Linked DNA regions of Mus musculus. The protein of the gene in region 3 interacts with the protein of the main gene of each other region in a pairwise test. Links are inferred from orthologs where the notes say so. Each region holds a gene or a part of one and is shown on either strand. Other genes may lie near its edges.

What was found.
Region 1: the proteins of Cyth1 (region 3) and Itgb2 interact in a two-hybrid assay, tested with the Homo sapiens proteins (2 studies listed by BioGRID). The link is inferred for Mus musculus from reciprocal best matches to the Homo sapiens genes CYTH1 and ITGB2.
Region 2: the proteins of Cyth1 (region 3) and Cytip interact in binary tests that used the Homo sapiens proteins (3 or more experiments, as listed by UniProt). The link is inferred for Mus musculus from reciprocal best matches to the Homo sapiens genes CYTH1 and CYTIP.

The regions. Positions count from the first base shown.
Region 1 is NC_000076.6:77,540,325-77,543,971, reverse strand, and holds part of Itgb2 (integrin beta-2 isoform 1 precursor), read right to left. Parts: intron 2,007-3,647; 5' UTR 2,004-2,006; coding exon 1,946-2,003; intron 1,575-1,945; coding exon 1,486-1,574; exon of another isoform or gene 1,426-1,485; intron 1-1,425.
Region 2 is NC_000068.7:58,132,515-58,136,161, forward strand, and holds part of Cytip (cytohesin-interacting protein), read right to left. Parts: intron 1,680-3,647; coding exon 1,213-1,679; 3' UTR 1-1,212. UniProt on the Homo sapiens protein: By its binding to cytohesin-1 (CYTH1), it modifies activation of ARFs by CYTH1 and its precise function may be to sequester CYTH1 in the cytoplasm.
Region 3 is NC_000077.6:118,245,743-118,249,863, forward strand, and holds the start of Cyth1 (cytohesin-1), read right to left. Parts: upstream 2,817-4,121; 5' UTR 2,719-2,816; coding exon 2,697-2,718; intron 1-2,696. UniProt on the Homo sapiens protein: Promotes guanine-nucleotide exchange on ARF1, ARF5 and ARF6. Promotes the activation of ARF factors through replacement of GDP with GTP.

The DNA.
Region 1 (3,647 bases), on a different chromosome or scaffold from region 3:
GAAGGTGGCACCTCCGGAAACACCACTAGCAGAGGGACATAGGGACCACATGTGTCTCATGCGGGGCACAGAGGATGTCGTCACTGCCTGGTGTCCCCAGTGTACACTAGAGCTGAATCAGAGGACACATTGGGATGGAGACACCAAGGGATATTCTACACTGGTGGCTCCTCTCACCCTAAAATGACAAGGACAGGAAGAGGAAGAAGGCTGGGAAGTTTCTGGAAGTAAGGTGTGTAAAGCGGCCTCCTGTGTGATCTGAGACTACACCAGTGAGGAAAAATGTGAAAATCTGGCACATTGGGTTGGGCCTGTTGGGTTGATATGTCCAATCTCCCAAGCTCGATAACAGGATCAAACTCAGCACCTGTGAAAACACACACACACACACACACACACACACACACACACACACACACAAAATGATGGTCAGGGTTGACTATCAACCTGACAGGATCAGAAATCACCCCGCCTCTGGGCACACTGGTGAGGAATCTTACTGATTAGGCTCACTGAATCAGGAAGAGCGCCCCCGTGTGGGCACACTGGTGAGTAATTGATTAGGTTCACTGAATCAGGAAGAGCTCCTCTGTGGATTAGGTGGGTTTAGGTCCTGGACTGAATGGTGTTAAGCAAAGCAGTCGAACATGAACATTCAGCACTTTGCTTCGTGACTGTGGATAAGAAGTGACCAGCTGCCCACACCCCCGCCGCCTTGACTTCCCCCACCATGACAGACTGTAGTGAACCCTGCCTTCCTTAAGTTGCTCTCCTCAGGGTATTTTTATGATAGCAACAGAAAAGTAACTAAGACAGTACAATTTTTTATCAAAACACATTTACTGGGTTTTGTAAGCTAATAACCTATTCCTAAAAGACCTATGGAGAAAGATGCACAGGGGCTGGCTGGCTGTAGCTTCCGCCAGGAAGGATTAGGTAACTGAGAAGAAAGAGTAATGGGTGCACTTCCTTGCGTGGTCAGCAGCTTGGGGACCCCAGGAGAAGGCTGTGATAAGATTTAGTCCCGGGCTGGAGAGAGATGGCTCAGCTGTTAAGAGAACTGACTGCTCTCCCGAAAGTCCTGAGTTCAAATCCCACAACCACGTGGTGGCTCATGACCAATCCTATCCATAATGAGATTTAGTCCCAGGGGAGGAGCCTTCTATAGGAGGAGGGGCAAGCTGTCCCGAGGACTGTGATTCAAAGATGAAGAGTCTCTGCCATGCCTGACCGGGGGCCTTTGCCTCCCTCTGCTCTTGACTTATATCGTGAAATGTGACTGTCCCTCCCTATGTACCTGGGGTCAACTTGGGTTACCATGGTATATTTATATCCCATTTGGAAACTTCTTTACTGAGCCATTTCTGCTATGTACTAAGGAGATCCTCCTAGTGACCCTGGCTTCAGAGAAGCAAAGGTTCCTACCTAGGCCAGTGGGAAGGAAGGGCAGCTTAGACTCTGTCAGGTGACCCACGCAGCTCTTACCAGCTTCTGGCACCAGGAACAGCCAGGCCCCGACTGGATACAGTCCCGGCAACTGCTGACTTTGTACTTGGTGCATTCCTGGGACACAGCTGGGGAGACAGACAGGGCTGACTGAGGGCCCCACATCCACCCCGACTGACTGTCTTCATGAATGAATGGGGTGCAGAGATGGACGGGGCACTGGGGAGGGTACAGGCTAGTGCCTGTGGCCTTACTGGGGTCTGGGAAGGGCTCTGAGTCACCCCAATGGAATTCAAAGCAAAGCTCTAGAGGTCAGACCCCCCGCCTCCTGTTACAAGGCAACCAAAGCCATCATCCATGCCTGAGACTCTACTCTCAAAGGCTGGTCCTTCCTCAACCACCTGGGGACGTATGCCCAAGGGGACATATGCCCAAGGAGACGTGAGGTGGGCCCACTGTCAAGGAATGTCACGTGTAGGGGCAGCTCCGCAGAACTCACCAGATCCCAGGAAGAACAGTCCAGCTAGGGCAAGCAGCAGTGAGTGTGGGCCCAGCATGTCCTGTGGAGAGAAGGAGCAGGTGACTCCAGGCTGATCACCTGAGGAGTGAGGTCCTCCTTGCTGGCCTGCTGCCATAGGGTATGAGAATCAGCCAGGGCCAGCACAGATGTCACCCAGCTACCTCAGGGAGGGATATGGGGGCCTGAATACTGACTGGCTCAGGTGGTCAAGTACCTGGAAGAACAGGCAGCCAGCCTCTGTGGGGATTCCACAGGTATGCACACACATATATAGGGAGTTGGGGGAAGGGATAGATAGATAGATAGATAGATAGATAGATGTGATAGAGATAGATAGATAGATAGATAGATAGATAGATAGACAGGCAGACAGACAGACAAATAGACAGACAGACAGACAGACAGACAGACAGACATGCCACACAGGCAGGCCCATTTCCATCCCACAAGTGCATTGGCCCGCGCTGCTCAGGGCTATGGCACCTGTACATTCAAAGACCACAGTAAGCTTAGATCCCCAGACCTGGTTGACCCAGACAGCAGAACCGGGCCCAGGCAGAGCCATGAACTTGGAGTTCTTGTCGGGGCAGGACTGAGCTGGCTCACAGAGACTGCAAGTCTCTGGTTGTCTCAGGCACTCTTTGAAGCACCAATTTTATTCTTGCTCTAGAGGGGCTACAGCTGGGGACATTGGAGTTCCTGTCCCAGACAGGGGACAATAGGCTTCCTGGAGCTCACTCAAAGTCTGGACAACCCTACTGCTGGCCACCTGATGCCCTGTTTCCGTAGCTACTGCACCATGTCTTGCTTACAATCAATGGCATTGCCAGCCTTGAAATAATGGGAAGTTGGGGGTAGGGGCTAGGTGGGTCTGGGCGTGCTGAGAGGCCTGGGTTGTGACCTTCTTCCTTACAGCTGGGCACTGGTAAATACAGATTCTCCCAGATCCTTGCTGCCACCCTCCTTCCCCGGAAGTAGCCAGAGTGGCCAGCACTCAGCCCACAGAGGCCTAGAATATTCTGAGTGGGGTGCCTCCTGGGTCTGACTTCCTATGACATGAGAAACTGTGGCAGGCAGGCAGAAAGAGATGCCAGCACCAGAGGCTGTGTTAACAGAAACAAAATCAACTTCCCCAAGCCGTGACCAGCTCCTCTGCAGGGCAGGGCTGAGCTACTACATAGGCTGAGTGGAGATGGGGACTGGGGTGTCAGGCCACTGCTTTCAGGATGACTCTTAGTGCTGTGTTGTGGCCTCAGAATACTGGTGGCCCCTGACACCATCTTTGCTTCCTGAAGCCCAACGTCCACACTGAGGCTCTGTGGTAGATATGACACCATTCTAGGGCTACCCCAACCTGTGGGTACGGGCTCCATGTAGCCTCATTTCTGACCCTTCTAAAAGTGGCCTGTGACCTCAGAAAGATAACCTCTAGAGCCCAGAGATTTTGTCTATTTTATTTTACATTTTAGTTTTTCTGAGACAAAATTTCCCTGTATAGCTCTCACTGTCATGGAAATCGCTCTGTAGGCCAGGCTGACCTCAAATTTACAGAGCTCCATTGCCTCTGCCTCTGGAGTACTGGGATTAAAGTCACGTGCACCATGCCCATCAAAGACCCAGAGGTTTTAAATGAAGCCCACTTCTCCTCCCCACTTAAGGGAAGACAGGATGTCCTCCCCAG
Region 2 (3,647 bases), on a different chromosome or scaffold from region 3:
AAATTTTACTACTTATTATCCTACAGACTTTACTTCACTTTTTTAAAAATCAAAATTGCTTTCTATAGACCAACTAGAAATTCACTTAAATGTATCAGCTCTGTTGAAGACACACAAACACATACACACACACACACACACACACACACACACACACACCCCGAAAGGGTGGAGGGAGAGAGTGTGCTTGGAATCAACCTAAGTCTTTATCACATGGTTATTTACTTGAGCATACAGGTAATGAACAGCTGTATCACCAGAACAGAGTTTAATGGATGTTGAAATAACATAGAGCATGATTGACAGGTGAGAGTACAATACAAGCACAGCTAACAAGGAACTTCGAGCTGAGGTGATACCTATGTGGAATGTTTAATGAGGTGTAGCAGGAGATAAACATACAGAAGAAATGTTCCTTCCCCATTCTCATTTTTAGAATTTTAGACATTTGCAGAAAATACAATCACAGATCTATAGATTTGATCCTGAGATTTCTGGCCTTGGCATGAATGTTCAGGCAGAAAATAAAAATTGAAATGGGCGAAAATAATGAGAGTCTCACTCACTCTGTTTAGAGATGGAGTGGGGAGTGGCATAGGATCCCAGCACCAAGAGCTCTCCTCTGCACCAATACTAGGCATCTCTCCCGCCTCACTGTCACTGCTGAAGTGAGAAGATGCGTATGATGCTATGTTTTATGATCCTTTAATGGTTTGAAAACAATTTTAATTCTCTCTTGGGCAAGCTCCCAGAGGCTACAGAGTAAATGAAGCAAATAGGAGGTTTTGTAGTCTATCAAATTAACATATTAAAAGCAACCCAATAATTATATTCTGTCGGTCTATATTCTTACTTGATCTAAGAATTCTCCACTTTTTACATGCATGGTCAGTATAATAAATATTTTTGTACTTTCCTGGCCAGCATTAGAATGAGCAGACATATTATTACATTATTTAACCTATTACTTTCCTCTTGTGATGTCTGTTTAGAAGTTGAACACTACTGATTGAAACAAACAAACGAACAAAAACAAACCTCTGATATAAGACCCCAAAAATAACAATATAAGAACTTAAAGGTCACTGCTGCTGTGAGATGGGATGTGAGCTTCACAGTCTATCTGTACTTTCCCACTAAGCCAGGGGTTCATCTTGGCGGGTAGAGAGAGGATTGTGAAACAAGCCAATTCAAAAGGTCTGCAGCAGCCCATCAAAAGCGACTCTCTTCCTCTTCCACTGCACGATGAAGGCCAGGGATGAATTTCAAAATTTGTTTCCGGACACTACCCCGTCTGCTTTTCCGGGGCAGGGTCCCAAACACGCTTGAGTAATTGCTCTCCCACAAGGGAGAAAAGGACCCACTACTAGTGACACTGATGCTCCGGTTTCTCCTGGAAGAAGCATTCCGCAGAATCTCGTCTCCATCCTTAGAGTGAAAGCACTCATCGTCGGTGCTGGTCTGCCGGCTGAAGGCACCCCGGATGGAGTCCTCAGACATACTGCTCCGGTAGCCGTCCTCACTGTCCACTGTGAGGGAGCTCAGCCAACTCTTACAACTGCTCTCACTGGACAGTCGATGCCGGTCCAGGAGGGCTGGACTCGGCCCCAGCAGATTTCCAAACAAGGACGACTCGTCGAGGTCCATGTTTTCCAAATTTGGGGAGTTTGCTGTGTCTCCTACAATACAGAGAAGAGTCTATTGTGAGTTGAATTCAACCAGCAGTCCCTACAAGAAAGCACACCCAACTTCAAAGAACTCAAGAGAGGAAGGACATATTCTCTGGCCCAAGTTTTCACTTGCACAAATAAAGTTAGGAGGGTTAACCAAGCTAGCACCCATGGACTAGCTATAAGAAGGTCATGAAAATTATAACTTAGAATACATTTAAGCAAGATAATCCATGCCCATAGCTTGGATCTAGAATGTACTCCAGAAGGTTTGCATGGAGATGCTACTGGGAGATGGTGAAAATTTTAAAAGTTGCTACCTCCCGGGAAAATTTAGTCTTGGATTAAAACTTCTGTTTCTTGCTCCGTTTTCCCTCACTCTCTAGCCACTAACAGCAATTTTAGTCTGCTGAGTGTTTCTGCCACGATGTACTATCACAGGCCCAAGCCAGTTTATTATGGACTGAAACCTTTGAACACTGAATCAAATAAAACTTTTATTTTTTGTAAGCTGACTTATCTTAGTGGCAGAGAGGACTGTACTTGACTTGAAATCAGTTCAATGCAAATGACACTGAGACAGTGTGACTCTGTGAACCTCCAAGTGCTAATGTCTTAAATTGTGTAACCCCGGAAACTTTTATGAAAATGCTCACAGAAGGGAGGTCAAAATAGATGCTCAGAAAGTTCTTCTCTGGTTCTTATGATCTGTCTCTGTAAAGAATCGGAAGCTTATTATAAAGCTATCTAACTTATATGGGGAAAACAGCTACAAACCAGAACATGTGCTTATAAAAGGTTTATGGAACCAATTATACCTTCCAGTCTCAATATCCCAAATTTCCTCTGAGAATGGCTGAATGTTTTAGGATGCTGCTGTGCTTAGAAAGCACCTCTCTCCTCAGAATTCTAGCTGCTTGGCCAAGTTTTCCTGTCAGTGCTTTATAACCCACAAATGGGTTCCCCAAACGGAAGTATGAGTCACATTCTCTCCTGCCCACCTGTTTCTCATTGCTTGGACAGCTAGTGTGCTCAGAAAACCATAACTGAGAATGTGAGTCTATTTAAAAAAAAAAAAAAGGTACAGGTTGCCAAGTCCTCCAAAAGGCATCCTGTGTTAGTTCTCTTTACTCTGTTCTCCTGTGGCTTTGGTTGACAATGTAGAAAGAGACTGTTCTGCCTCCATTTGATCTATGAAGCCAAGCACAGCCAGTTTACATCTACATCATGCTTCCTTTCTGCTACAACTGGGTTGTTTTGTCTTTCGCTGCTGATAAATCCGGATGGAAGAGCAATTGCTTTATAGACCCCCGTGTCCTGAGTACTTCCTCTAGTTCTAGGAAAAAGCAGATGAATGAAGACCTCTAGTCCCTCAAAAAATGTGTACCAATGTAGCTCCTGATATTAGATCTACTTAAGACTATTCCTGTCCATGTGAAAACTGTATGCTGGGCTGTTCAGAAACCTTCAGTAGTTCAGCAAAGGCTTCTGAAACACTCCACGTCTATGAAAAGCAGGAAGTTGAATAAGGTTTCAAGAATCTCTCTCTCTGGCCCATTGGTCGTGCAAACTTTATCTGCCTCAGTACAGGGGAATGCCAGGGCCAAGAAGTGGGAGTGGGTGGGGGAGCATGTGGGGGACTTTTGGGATAGCATTGGAAATGTAAATGAAATAAATACCCAATTAAAAATTAATTAATTAATTAATTAAAAAATAATCTCTCTCTCTCTCTCTCTCTCTCTCTCTCTCTCTCTGTGTGTGTGTGTGTGTGTGTGTGTGTGTGTGTGTTTCAAACTTGTCTAGTATAAAGTGAAAACCAAGTCTCTAAACTGTTAATCAATGCCTAAATAATAATTAAGACTATAAAGGAACTTTAGAAGACAGAAAAAAATAAAAGACTATAAGATACAAAGTTGAATAGACTTTGGGATAGATATTTGTCAGAAGACATGAAATTGGCCAAAAGATATATGAAAA
Region 3 (4,121 bases):
ACATTCTCTCTATAGTCTGATACTCAAACTGGGAGGCTCAGTCAGACACAGAATCAACACAGTGCCAGCTACTCAGAAGGCCGAGGCAGGAAGATCACTTAAACCTACCAGTTTGAGGCCAGACCCATGGAATCATAGGGAGATGCTCCCCTAACTCAAAATGGAAAGAGGAGATCAAGAGAAGGGGGAGAAGAGAGGAGACAAGGAGAAGAAGGGAAGGAAGGAAAGAAGGAAAGAGGGAAGGAGAGAGGGAGAAAGAGAAGGAAAGCTGGTCTCAGTCTCCACATGGCCATTTTATACTATATGATACTCGAGGAGTTCTCTTGTATTTAACCCCTCTAGATCCTCCCAAGTAAAAAGACGTAAAAGTGTATAAAGGGGGCAATGAGCTTCCTTTTCATCCTCCCATGCCGCTCTCTTGAAAGCTTGCACGAATGCCCACATCTGGGATGATGAGATGTCCCAGTGGGTTCAAAAGCGCTTGGTGTTAAGTCTAGCAACCTAAGTTTCATCCCAGGACTGGCAGAGTGGAAGCAGAGAACCCACTCCTGTCTCATAACCTCCACGCGCAATAAATAAATAAATAAATAAATAAATAAAATTTTAAAAAGTTAAAGATGTGAACATCACAATCCTCAAGTCTTTAAAAGTGTTTACTCACATGGCAAAAGGGAAGCTGGGTTTGTGGATGGCTACTACGATCCTTATCCTGAGTTATCTAGGTAGGTGTGACACACAAGTGTCCTGTGAAAGGGCAGCAATTAGACAAAGTGGAGAGATGCTATCCACTGGCTTTAAGGATGGATTCCAAGGGAAGCGAAGCATCCTCTGGAGCTAGGAAAGGAAAGGAGGCCGACTTTTCCCTCCAGTCTCTGGCAGGAACACTACCCTAACAAAATCTTGGTATCAGCCCAGTGTGACCTAATTTGGACTCTCACCTCCAGATCTACAGAGTAAATTTGGGTTTGAGTCCCTCTATTCCTGGCAGTAACAGGAACCAAAGCCTTCCATTTTTCCTTCCCTAGTACAAGTCATGCCTGAGTCAAAGAAGTCACTATTAAACCAACCAGAACAGCAGCTCTTGCCTCACCCAGCGGGCAATAACCAGGGGAGGGTAAGAACAAAGCTTGGCAGAACCCTGGCACCCAGGGGACAACAAAGGACAAGGGGGAGAGAAAAGAGCAGTGGGGAAAGCCAGTGAAGGTTTCCAACCGAAGAAAAAAACCCTGAGGGTCCAAGGGGGCCGAGCAATCCCTCGGGGCCTGCCTGCAGGTGACTGCTTTTCTATCACAAAGGAAGGCACACACCATGTTTACCTGGAAGGTAGCAAAAGCCGGCTTCTTCCACTGAACAGGAAGGCACAGACCTCTAACATTCAAGGAAACAGTCAGTGTTCACACATCTGAAGCTCTGGGAGTTGTTAGCCATAATCCTCATGGCTTCACCGGGTCAGGGTTCTCTAAGGGCTCCCCTGCAAAGCCCTAACACTCTTCCCTCTTGGTACTTTAATATTCCTCACCAGAGTGTGAGGAGGCAAAGTTACCTGTGAGGCAACACACCGGAGTTTGGCTCCACTAAGCCGTATAAGCTTGTTAAGTTCCTGAGCCATACTTCCCTGCCAAACCAGTAAAAGGTCACCACTCGCCCTACCTGCCATTCCTTCTTCCATTCCTCCTGGAAACAATGCTAACAACCACGTAAAGCATTTCAAATAACCTTCTACAACTCCAGAGACTGCACACCCTCGGAGGGACCAGAGCCCTGGCTGTTCGCCAACAAGCAGCAAGGTTAGCCAGGAGAGTCTAAATCGCTTCTGCCCTGGTGGAGGATGTGGACTGGTGTCATTACCCGGCTACCTTCAGGCAACAGCTCAAACTTGATCCCCTTGCCCGGTGTGGTCAGGCCCTGACTGACAGACCAGGGGACCAGGAGCTAATTCACAATGCGACGGTAGCACGAACCTGACCGACGTCCCCGGCTCAGAGGCCCCGGTCAGGCCACTTGTGTTCATCTCAGAACAAAGAGCTGGATGGGGCACATAACTTCTAACACCCCTGAGAGCCGGAAACTACTAGGGAACACAGGCCGGCCGGGCGTGTTAGTCCCGCGGCCGCTCGCGGCGTCTGCCACCCCGGTGACAAGCAGCAGGCGACTCGTCTTAAAGACTACGACCCCGGTCACCTGGCCCTGACTCCCCTCGGCACCCCGGGGCTCCTCAGCATCCTCATGACCCTCAGCGCTCCGGTTAACCCCCGCCGCGGAGACCCTCTAACCCCGGCGACTCCCCTTCCGGGGCCCCTAGACTCGCAAACCTCAGCCCCAGCGACCCCCAGGCCCGAGTAACCTCGGTCCTGGAGCCCGAAAGCAATTCCCGGTTTTACACCCGTCTCCGTCGGCGCCCTCAGGTTCGGGCGACCCCTGCCGTGACCCTCCAGGCCTGGGTGACCCACAGCCCCGGCAACCCTCAGGCTCGAGTGACACTCAGTTCCCAGCGACCCTCAGGCCCGGGTGACTCTCAGTTCACGGCGACCCAAAGGTCCAGGCGACCCTCAGCCCCGGCGACCCTCAGGCCCTCGAGCGTCTGGGCAGTCACCCCCGGGCCCTCGCACTGCCGCCACCCGGCGCTCCGCGTCCCGTCCCAGGGACACCGGCGCAGGCGGAAGCTCACGAAGGGGCAGCGGACCGGCCCCACTCACCATAGCTGTCATCGTCCTCCATGGTGCTGGCGACCGGCTCCGGCCCGCGACCGCCACTGACCTCCCGCAGCCCGCGTCCTGCCAGACACCAGCTCGCCACAGGCCAGCTCCGAGCCGCGGAGCCCCGCCCCCCGCACCGCGCCCGCACTGCCCAGCACGCGCCTGCGCACGCGCCGCCCGAGGCACCGCCCCCGGCACAAGGTCCCGCCCACAGCCAAAACGCGCGTGCGTGAACGCCCTCTAGGCCCCGTCCCCTTGAGGACCTCTTTAGTTTGCGTTTACGCAAGCGCGGCACCTAGGCTCTGCCTATCTATGACTCCGCCCCCAAGTCACGCCCTCTCTCCTTAGGTACCGCCCCCTCTCCTCGGGGCAGGGCAGTTTCGGGTTTCAAGTTTCACAAGCGTGCGTAGGCCGCGGGCGTGGTTTACTAGCCAGGGCCAGCGTCCAGCCACTCGGCTGGTTAAACATACTCAAGGTCACGGGTATAACCCGAAGGGTAAGGTGGCCCTAGCTGTATCCGCCTCGGACACCAACACGTCGAGGAGGAAATTACCTAAACTCATCTGTGTTCGTTACTTATACTTCCTACCGGCGCCAAGTTGCACAGGAGGACATAACTTCCAAATTAGTAGCCTCAATTTACAGGCTCTGCTGCTTTCTTCGGGAGGACCGGTTGATCCCCCTTTGCAGTTGTGGCCAGGGGCTGCTTCTGTGGAGGTGAGAGCATTTATGCGGTAGGAGGTCTCTGCAGAATTAATCAGTGGAAGCACCAACCAATGATCTGAAAAGGCCCTTAGGGAACACCCTGTCCTGTGAACTCTAGCCAAGTGACCAGCAGGGAGTGCATTGCAGCTCAATGACAGAGCACTTGCCTAGCAATGTGAGAGACCCTAGATTGCATCCCAGAGACCAGGGGAAAGGAGAAAACTAATTCCCAGACTCAGAGGGTCTTATATGGGCTGGGGCATCTCTGGGTGGTAGGTCCCTGTCCAGGATGTCCTCCACCACAGCATGCACAAACCCTTCTTACCCCAGAAAGGCCTGGGGTAGTGGTGCTTGCCTGTGGCATACCTGTTGTTAGTCTAGCGTCCCAGGAAACTGAGGCAGGAGGACAATATAGTGAAACTCCACCTCAAAAACAAAACAAAACAAAACAAAACAAAAACCTACAAATACAGCAAAAGAGACACTGGGAAGTTTTGGGACGGGTCTTCCTGATTGAAACAAAGACTTGAAATCCCCCATGCAGCCCCAGAACCAGCCTTCTACCCCCACAGCTCCCTCTCTCTGCAAATCACTGCCTGTAGAGGGTTGTGGGAATCTCTGGGCTTCTGCAGGGCATGAAGGGGCCAGGCCAACCACATGGGGAGGAAGGAGAGTCAGGTCTTTCCTTGTGGGTCCTTCTCTTCGCTGGATGGGCTGCAG